2 linked regions of the Drosophila melanogaster genome follow. The protein of the gene in region 1 interacts with the protein of each later gene in a biochemical or structural test. Each region holds a gene or a part of one and is shown on either strand. Other genes may lie near its edges.

The links.
Region 2: the proteins of Ptp99A (region 1) and nerfin-2 form a complex in vitro, tested with the Drosophila melanogaster proteins (one study listed by BioGRID).

Annotation. Positions count from the first base shown.
Region 1 is NT_033777.3:29,375,552-29,380,850, forward strand, and holds the start of Ptp99A (protein tyrosine phosphatase 99A), read left to right. Parts: upstream 1-2,094; 5' UTR 2,095-2,473; intron 2,474-5,299. UniProt on the Drosophila melanogaster protein: May play a key role in signal transduction and growth control. May have a role in the establishment of the intersegmental and segmental nerves.
Region 2 is NT_033777.3:10,069,205-10,074,456, forward strand, and holds nerfin-2 (nervous fingers 2), read left to right. Parts: upstream 1-1,912; 5' UTR 1,913-1,970; coding exon 1,971-3,443; intron 3,444-3,503; coding exon 3,504-3,694; intron 3,695-3,825; coding exon 3,826-4,249; coding exon of another isoform or gene 4,250-4,489; 3' UTR 4,490-4,557; downstream 4,558-5,252. Other genes in the region: Alp13 (alkaline phosphatase 13), read right to left, coding at 4,656-4,750, 4,818-5,252.

The sequences.
Region 1 (5,299 bases):
GGAAAACCGCAGGGCGAGTGAGTGAGCAAGTGAGTGACTTTCCCTACCCTCCGATGCCATGGCTAATTTCCGCTATTGTTCATAATTTTTATTGCGCTTGTTGCGAATTAGTTTCGGTTTCGCCCGATGCCAGATCGCAATCCCTCATCAATGTTGCAATTTTTTGCAATTTAAAATTTGTTATAAATCGTCGCTGGTTGAGTTTAGGGGTTGATCCTTGATGTTGCCTTTTGCTCCCTTTTAGAGAGGCGTTGACAACGGCAACAACAAGAAGTGCCTGCGATTACAGGACTGCGAACACGATTGCAATGCGACTTCCTCGAGGGTGGATTTTTCAGCTCGTCCTGTCGCATCTTTAGTTGCATCAGGATGTGGCTGGCTGGGGTGGGTACCCTTACTCTCCTTATGGCCATTAAATTGTGGGCAATTGACCGGTTCGAGGGGTGTGGACATCGTTTAGGGGCAGGTGCCTGAGGCACTGGGATAATTGCGGAAGTAACACGCTGATCGGCACAACAAATTATTGCGATGGACTGGCAGTTTTGTCAGATGGCAAATTTAATGCGAAAGAAATCGTGTTCTATGTTCAATTAAATTGACGGTAAATAATACCATTAGAATATATTTAGTTGAAAGATAAAAGATATCTTTTAAAGGACTTTAAATTAAGAAAAAACTAACAAGGCTGTAGGACTATGTAATCCAAACAGTTATTTTACAGACCATGTTATAAATAACATGCCCATGTAATGTTCGCATTAACAGAACATTCAATTCGAATATCTTGTTAACGTTGTTCGAAAATTAAAAGTAGAAAAAGTCTGTAATGTAAACATAACATAGACCAACACAATTTCTCCTTCAACTGCAGGTTCACATCATTTGATTAACCCCGAATGTTATTTATTCCATAGCTATAGGCGTCCTTTTTGCGAATGTTATTAGCAGAATGGTTCGCTTTCTACCCCTTTCCAAATTTAGGACAATAACATTGCACTAACATTCTAGAGTAGACCTCTGTTCCCTAGCCTGTTCAACGCGTTAACAGAACGTTGACTCAGTTCGAATGTAGACCAACAAACTCATGAAAACAACATTCGCGCAGGACCAAGGGGTGATTTTCGAAAATGTTACGGAAACCTTCTTTTGCGGTGGAATTTTCTGTAAACACTCGGTTACAGGACAAGGCAAAAACAACAATTTACTGATTCAGTATTCAGTATTCAGGGGTTATGATTTTGGTCGAAATCTTTTCCAGACATTACAGCGGTTGAAGAGTTCTAACATTACTACAAATGTACTACCAATGTTAAGCATTTTTACTGTTCAAATAACTGGCAACAGTAAAAACGTCCACTGATTGTGAATAACTCCAAAATGTAATGTTATGATTTATTTTATAAGAAATTTAAATCAATAAATTATTATAAATATTTTTCGAATATTGAATATAATCGAAATAAGCGGATTATAAGATTTGGAAAATTAATTGAAGCTTAGCTCCTTTATAAGAGACTTTATATAACATATTATTTAAATTTAAAATTAGTTTTCATCCAAAGAGCTGCTATGTGTGGCCGAAGCTAACTGCGGTCCGTCCAGGACCTCTTTGTAGTGCCTTAGAAATTCCTAAAACACTTGCTGCCAACGTTTCAGTTCTGTTTGTGCCGCAACGCTCGACACCTGAGCGATTTGAGCAGGTCGTGGCCGCCGAAGAGCGCGTCTCTTATCAGTGATAAGGCCAGCGCAATTCGGAGTTTGGTCATGGTGAGTTTCGGAGTTGAAAGTGGAACAAGCGCTCTCCCAATGAGAGAGCGTGAGTCCGTTCGCTCTCGGCAGGACGACAGCCGAGGCGTCCACCCGCGCACAAATCTAGGCAACAGCACACACTGAAGCTCGCAAAGAAGTTCGGGAGACACACACGGTGTGTGTGGTGGAAAGCCGCTGGAAACCCGAAGTCGGCCACGAACCACCGACCTTCTATTCTGGAGGGGTTTTCCGGGGGATGCGGCGGTGGTGCAACGGCAGTGGCAGCGGCAACGGCGGCTTCTGCCTTTCAGCTGGGAATTTATTTGCGCAAAAACGAAGCGGCTCAGTTTCGTGTTTGTTGTGCGCTCGTAAGGATGTGTCCGCTGGCGCTGCCGGACTTCGTGCGTTCGCGTCGCGTGTGTGCGCGTTTATCCTGACGCTGAATGTATCTCAGCCAAAGCGGCCGAAACGGGCCACGAAAAGTGCTTGAAAATCAGGCGAATAGCTCAAGTGAATGCCAGAATAATAATCATGCATATTGATAAAGCGTTGAGAGAAAATCAAAAATAAAATGCGGCAATCGCTGTCCAGTTCCGTGTTAAGTTTTTATTTGTGTTCGTGTGCTTGGATTCGGAAAGCAGGATCCCAATTACCGACGATCTCGAGGATAAACCACTAACTGATAGAAGGTCCTGCGTTGCGGAAAATAAAACACAGCAAAAAGGTGGTTATCCCCAGATTTGGTGACCCACAAGCATAACTAAACGATTCGAAATCGAGGCAACTGGATGAGAACTGGGTGAAAATTCCAAACTCGTCGTCGTACTGCAGCATATTTAGCATTTTGCATTTTGGGGCGGACTTTTGGATTTATGTTGACCCACTTCGCTAAGCGATTTCCCTTTCAATTTGCGTCTTGAAGCGATGTTTTAGCCAACTTATCCCTCGACCATCTCAGTTAATTAGTTTAATTAGTGAGTGTCGTGGGCCCATCGTTGGTTGGTTAGTCGGTCTGTTCTGGCCCAAAAATCGGTTTGGCATCTCGAGCCAAAATTAAGAACCTTTCTGGCGCAAAGTTTTATTTGAAACTGCTGACCCGGGATTCGGTCGGTCATGCCCTGCCGCTAATAGCCGACATTATTGTTAGGATTCGCTGGTAGTGGGAGTTGGGACTTTTCGGGACTGGACCAAACAAAGGGCCATCGGATCGACTGTATGTGCCATTGAACAAACACCAAGCCAAAACGAGTGAAACCCTTTTTGCGCCACTTTTCCTAATGCCACGACTGCCATTTGTTGGGGCAATAAAAGCCAGCCAGCCAGCGACTTCAGTAAAGATGAAATGAAAATGAAATAAAATAAACAACAATGGCTGGGCAAAATTAAACTAAATTTATTTGCTTTGCCACTAAATTTGCGCTGATTTCGGCAGCAGCTTCACTTCACTTCACTCTCGCATTATGTTGCCCCACTCAAAAAATGTGTTTGTCAACAAAGCCAGCGGAGCGCAAAAATGGTCCTTGGTCCTTGGTCGAATCCCCTTGCACCAAAAAGAAAAAAAATCGAGAGTGTTTGTGCTTAACCTTTTGGTGGAGCCGGATTTCTGGCTCGACTGGTGTGGCACACGTTCAACTATTTTGGAATTTGCGGCACGTGCCCAAATTGCAAACATCAGCAAATAATAATATAAATTCAGCCAGCAGTTCGGGCATCCAAACCGAATTAGTCGAGTGTCCTTTTTACAGTAGTGCTTACAAGATGATTAGGCGTGTGGCTGGCATGTGATACATTTAGCTGCTCGTCGTATAATAATTTCATTGTTGCAGCTCTGCAATTTATAATGCGGCAACAATTGCAGTCGCACTTGCAGCAAAGGCGTGCAACTTGTTGTCGCTGGATGCAAGCCCACCCCTTTGTGGCAACACTTGAGCCGCACAGCCACTGCAGTTGCACTTAAGCTTCCACCGCTGCAGTTGTTATTTCTATTTCTATTCTCTCTCTACTTTTGCACACCCATCGTGAGCCGCCGTCTGGCATTATAATCCGCATCTATGTGAGTCGGTGCAAGTGTATACAGAAGCAAGTGCGCGATGTTGTGACCAGTTTTTTTTTTTTGCAGGAAATATACATCTTGATTGTTGAAGTTGAAGCTGACTCGATCTATGTGTTCGAAGTTTGAGTCCTGCAAGGACTTCGGCGACACCTCTGGCCGTGCTAATTAACCAAGTTCCAGCATTTCCATTTAGCTGACTGCTTTTCTTTCATGTCAAAGCATTTAATTATACTCCTACATTTACCCGCTCCCTCTCGTTTCCCGCTTTCCCCACGCTTTTCACTTTTTTCCACCTTTTTTTTTTACTGCTGGACTTTGCCTGATTTATTTATGCATTTACCTTTGCGAGTTGCCCGTGGAGGAAGCTGCTGTCATGCTGCTGGTTCGTTGTCTTAATTCATTTTTTATTCCAACGTAAATAAGCTGTAAATTACAACTTCTGTTGCTCTGCTGTTTCCAGCTGATGTTGCTGTTTTTGCCGCTGCTCCCTGAATATTTTGTATGATTCTACTCCGGCAATTCCCGGGCTGCTTGTTGCCTGCCTCGTGCTGCATGCTGGAAGCCGCATGCCCCGTGTCCCGTGCCTCATGCCAAATGCAGTGCCATATTTTTTCACTCTTCACTGACGCCCCGTCCCTTTTTTTTTTGCATACACAGAGAAAACGGAGTCAGAGCAGCATCTATTTTAATTGTAAATCACAAGCTTTTAGTCATTCAAACAATAAATCAAATATTTTACAATGAACAAAAGAATAAATAATTAGAGGTAATAAGCTGCATATTAGGATGTTGATCTATACAGTTGGGCAATACCAATTATATTTTTATAAATTATCTTTTATAATTCATAATATTCTTATGCATTTTATTATTTTTCCCAATGTGCATAAATCATTGCGAAAGCGGGAAATGGATGTGCATGTGAAGTGGAAACATAATGGCTTTCCTGTTGCTAAAAAAAAGGACATAAACGAGTGATAAAATATGAAAGTTTTATGAGCAATTGTGAACGGCTGATACACTTTAGACACATATCTGTGTAGCATTGATCAATTTGCGTTGCATACTCGTGTTTTCTCGCTGTGCTGGAAGTCACATCCCGCTGCTTTTTGCTGCTGTTTAATTTAAAGTTTGCCACCCAAAAAGGGGAGCAGCATTGCAGTTGGTGGTGGGAATGTGGGGCTGTCATAACTGCAAATCGGCTACTGACATCCAGCTACTTAACGCTCCTCACTGCCTTCCGCTCGCCGTTTGCGTTTGTGTTTGTGTTTGGGGCATGGGGCATGGGGCATGGGGCATGGGCATTCGGGCATGAAAGCGGCTCGGAACTGTCTGCGGACCCAAAGGGGACAACTGCCACTACTACTTCTAATGGTCAAAAAGAACGGGCTGGGCGACGATGGCGCTGCACTGCGTTTGGAATTATGTGGAAAATTGAGAAAATGTTGCTCAACAACACAAGTACAAGCAGAAGTAGAAAGTAGAAGTTCCGAGGCA
Region 2 (5,252 bases), about 19 Mb from region 1:
ATTTCCTTGGACGAGTGTCAGGAGCAGGCGAATGGATGGATTCACAAAGGCCATGGAGCTATGCTAATGAGCTGCCGCTGCCCCCCAAGAAGCTGACAATTAGCCGGGGGCGAGGAAAAGCCGCAAACTGAAACTTGTTGACCTCGTTGCCACAACAGATCTTGGCCAGGCTCAAAACTTAATAAGCCATCTACAATAAGCCATCTACATTTTTTTTTCACAGTTTTTAACCTTCTTTATGGGGCTGGGAAGCCACTTGTTCGTTCGGTTGTGCGACGGAGTATAAAAGTTCGTAATTTAATTTCAGTTTATTAGTCGGAATTGTTTTTGACTCTGCTGCAGCGCACGAGCCTGTTTTCCGATGGCGTCGCGACGCAACAATTTAATTAGATTTTTGTAGACCGTTTCTTTAATTAATTGCATTCAGCTGCAATTAAAGGCAGGTCTGGATATCGAAAGATAACTCGAGTGTCAGACTTTTACTATCGATTTGCCAGTATAAATCACGTTATGTTATAATTTTTATAAAATGGAATATTTATTAAAATTTATCTTAAGTCTCACTATTATATTATTTTAAAGACATTTACAATTTATATAGAAAACTAAAAGAACGTTCTTAGCATGCTGTATAAAATTTTACGTGTTTGAAGCCCTGGCTTAATTCCATTGATTTACCTAATTTTTTGGCCAAAAGCTGACGCCATTTTGAAAATTCACTTGAATCGCCAGAGGGGAGCTGCATTAAATTTTCAAAACCACAAAAAGAATCCTTTGGTTCTTAAAATGTCTGAACAACGCTGACCATGATGATGATGCCAGGGGGAGTAAAAGAACAGAACTCTGGCCGATGGAAGGTACATGGGTCTGGGAACAAAAGGTGCACTCACCTGTCAACGCCCCAAGCACAAACACCATTTACACCACTCCACACCCCACAGCTAGCCACCCACAAAAGTCATGTGGAATGGGTGGCTTAAACTCCAACGTAGTGCAATGAAATTCTTCATCTACAATTCAATGACATTCCATTCTGGGCTTTGGACGGGGCGTGGCAAGTTGCAGGACGCTGCCAATAAGCGTGCCCCCAGTGGAGCAACAGATGATACATTTATGCAGCGCCCCCTCGTGGGCCTGCATCAGGGGGCGTGGCTGCGCATGCGCCTACCGTGCGCGTGGGTGAATCGGGGGTGGGATGGTCGAGCTATGTCATCCGCCCGGCGAATCCCAGAGCAGGCCGCTCAGGATTCCGCCGCAAGGTGCGAGCGAGAGCCGTACATCCACATCCCGTTCAATAATGCGGGTGTCCAGTGGATGAGAGAGGGTGGTTGGGTGGCTGGGTGGTGGTTACTGCCTTTCATTGGCTTCGCATTCAAACCCAATTTCAGCTAGCAGCATTGCGACAGGTGACCGTCCGCCGTTCAGTTCTCTTTGAAGCCTGCCGCGGGTCAGTTGCGTGTCACGGAAAACCCTTAAGTTAACTGCATAGACCTTGGGCTAACCAAACAGTTTTCAGTGATTCCCGATTAAAGTTGAATATCTAACGAAATTTTTGAAATTGTGCAAAATACACATTGAATATTTGAAACAAGAGCAAGCCAACAAAAAATGATGTGAAGTGCTACACTTAAAAACACAATAAATACGACGATAGTTAAAAAATAAATTATCAAAGTGCATTAAGTAATCAAACATATCAAGTGTTAGATGAAGCAAAAGGTACATTTTTAGAATAGTTGATGTTTTATTAAAAATTTAATTTTATAATTAAATACCCATTTTATATATATATTTATATATATATATTGGATTTACTATTTATTTGAGAAACTTTATTTAAGTTAACTTCAAAGCCCAAAGCCCAATACTATAACACTTGACACTTTATTGTGCAAGAATAGGAGTGATTACTGACTTCAAATGAAATACCAGAAAGTTGACGTTACAACGCAATAGAAAAGGGGAGAAAAATGATGAACATGAATCCGCCGACGCACCCGCACCCGCACCATCACCCACATCCTCATCCACACCCACAACCGCAGTCCCATCTCCAGTCGGTGCAGCATCTTGGCCAGCATCAGCCACTGCCCGCCCTGCTCCAGGGCCACCCAGACACCACTCACTTCGTCGAGTGTCGGGCATTACCAGCAATCAACGAGACATTTCCGCAATTTGGCCAGCATCGTCCGGCTATTTCGCTGCTCTCCCCCTTGGATCTTTCATTGCGCGCCGCGGCCAGTGTAGTGCCAATTACTCCACCCTCAACGCCCTCGCCGCCTCGCAAGCGCCAGAGATTAATGTCCGAGGAGAATTACCTGTGGCGTCCGCACATGGCGAGTCCTGCAGCTCCAGCTCCAGTTGTTCCGTCGAGCCTGGCAATGCAGCCGGGCTACTTTCATCATCATCAGCAGCAGCAACATCAACTACCACACCAGCAACATCATCAGCCATATGCCACACGCAGCAGCTTGGAGGGCGCTTCCTTTAATAAAAGTCATTTTCACGGGACGAAAAATAACTTTGAGCAAATTCCGGCGGGTCAATCGAGCGTCAGCTCGCCCATCTACGTGGAAGATGAGACCATTGTGCTGACCGAGGACGAGGATGAAACAGTTGTCAGTTCCCATGACTACAATGAGTACGCCACGGACACGGAGGAAGTCAACGAGGGCGACGATGAGACGCAGCAGGTACAAGTCAGCGTTAATGGCGACGATGATGAGGAAGAGGTGTTTGTCGATGTCCTGGGCAGTGACGATGACGAGGATGAGGCGACGGACCTGGTGGCCACAAGATTGCAGGCCCAACTAATAGAGACCACGGCCCTGAAACGCAATGAACTTCTGTATGAGGATGAGGAGCTGCACAACCAGGCGGTAAATGGTTTGGCCAGACTCTTTGACCGGGATTTTCCAGAGCCAGATGTGGAGGTTTCCGGTTTGGCGGAACTCCAGAGCAACAGCGGGAAGACATACACGGATCTGAGTGGCGTGGCAACGGCGGAGATTAGGACTACCAGTTCCGACAACCTTCCACCGCCTCCTCCACCTCCTCCGCCTCCAGCGACTTCTACAATCCCTGCTACACCTCCACTTCCGCCTCCACCCATATCTCGACCCCACAAGGCGGAACGTAGGAGGTCGAAGCTACGAAAACACATGGCCATCGATGAGGAGACCATAAGTCCAGTTTCTGGCACCATCATTCGCAAATTGCGCGACGACGAGGAGCTGGTGGTGCGCAAAGGCGACATTGATCCGGCTTTTAACGTGGTCGAAATCACCGAGGAGGCCAAGGCCATCCTGGCCAGCATTGACAACAAGATTGGAGACTACATGTGCCAGCTCTGTCGCACTGTCTACGATGATGCCTTTATGTTGGCCCAGCACCGTTGTCCCCGCATCGTTCACATCGAGTACAAGTGCTCCGAGTGCGAAAAGGTTTGTGGTCCGAAGGAAGGATTCGCTTTCCAGGCAACTAAAACACTTTTTCCTTTGCAGGTCTTTAATTGCCCGGCCAACTTGGCCTCCCATCGCAGATGGCACAAGCCCAAAGCGGAGGCGGCTGGAGTTAATCCCGCCAAGAAACGAGTTGTGGAAACGGGCGATCTGGTACAGGAGGCGACTAGGAGCGGCGATGATGCCAGCGATGGCATTTATCCTTGCCATATATGCGGAAAGACTTTTCGACGGTGAGTTAGTAAGACTTTCGGAAAAAAACTATACAATTTAATTAGTTATTTGGTATTTAAAAAAGTTGAAATTTTAAATATTTTTAAGCAGTTAATTTGAAATGTTTATATTTATTTTCCACAAACAACAGTCAAGCTTACCTAAAGAAACACCAGGCCTCCCATCAGATGTTGGATAATCTCAAGAATCTGGATTTCTTCAAGTCCCAGCAGCAGCAGTTGACCATCAATGGCCACCAATTGGCCGATCATGTCCAGCTGCAGCATACAACTGGACAGGCGGTCACATCTGCCGCTCCCTATGCATCCTTGCCACGCCCACCGCCTGGCATGCCCATGTACCCGCCGCCAAGTGGTAAGAACTATCCGGGTGGACAACGCTTTCCGGGATTTCCCTTTCAGTCATTCGATCAGCGTCGATTCTACTCTCTTGGGGAATTTTACCTATCGCAGCACTTGGAACGATCCTCGGCCTTCCAATACGTGCAGGCCAATCACCTGAGGCAACTGTCCAATGTGGCCCAAACTTTGATGCCTCCTCTGCCCGTCAAATGACCCAATCCGAATACGAATGTCCTGCGGCCGGTGCCACGCATTGCGGCAACAGCGACGGCAACGGGACCTCCAGCGGCAGCAACAGCAACAAGGCAAGCGGCAACTGCCGCAGGAGTGTCCTCCGTTGGCCACGCCTTTAATTGGGTGGCTCCGTCGACCGCAGGTGCAACTGCAACGGGAAGTGCAACTGCAACTGCCACGGCGACGACTGCAGAGTCCGGCGGAAATGTTATCATGTGACTTAACAACTATTAGCAGCATTGAATCAACGATCTCTAGTTAAAGTTTAATAAATCAATCAAATTATAAGGACGTCTTTTATTCGGGCTGACAGCTAAAGAAATTTTATTTAAACACATTTCATTTTACCTAAACATTTTTATTACATATACATGTGAATAGTATTCTAAGGTCGAACTCTACTTCTGCTAAGGACATGGGATATTGCATGTGCCAGAAAGGTTTCTTTTCGAACACCTTGAAAAATTGAGGACTTGGGGCCTTGAAATAGTTATTAATAAATAAAATTAATAAATATAACTAGGATACCGTAGAATAGGTTACTCACCCTGTGCAAAAAGTAAGCTTTCAGATGGCATTTGGTGCAGTCGTTTTTGGATCTCAGATTCCGCCTCATTAAATATCTCCGGAAGAAGGCTGATTGTCTCGGTTTCTTCGCTGACATCCAGGCTTGGTTTTGGATAAATGGCATTGGTCATTAAAACAAGAGTTAAAGTATCCTGATCTTTGTGAAGATTAACCAAAGTATCATTCAAAAGCTGCAACTGCTCTCTTTTGTCAATACCCGATGGTATAAATTGCTCCACTATGAGTAGATATCCTTGTTTATATTTAGTAAGAACATTCAAAGACTTATCGACCATCAATTTTAGACTTGGGGCCTTTGAATTACCACTCAAATCTCCATTGGCCATCACACCCATTAAATAATCAAAACTACTAGAATTTAGGGACTCCAGCTCATCCCTTCGCTGAATCAAAT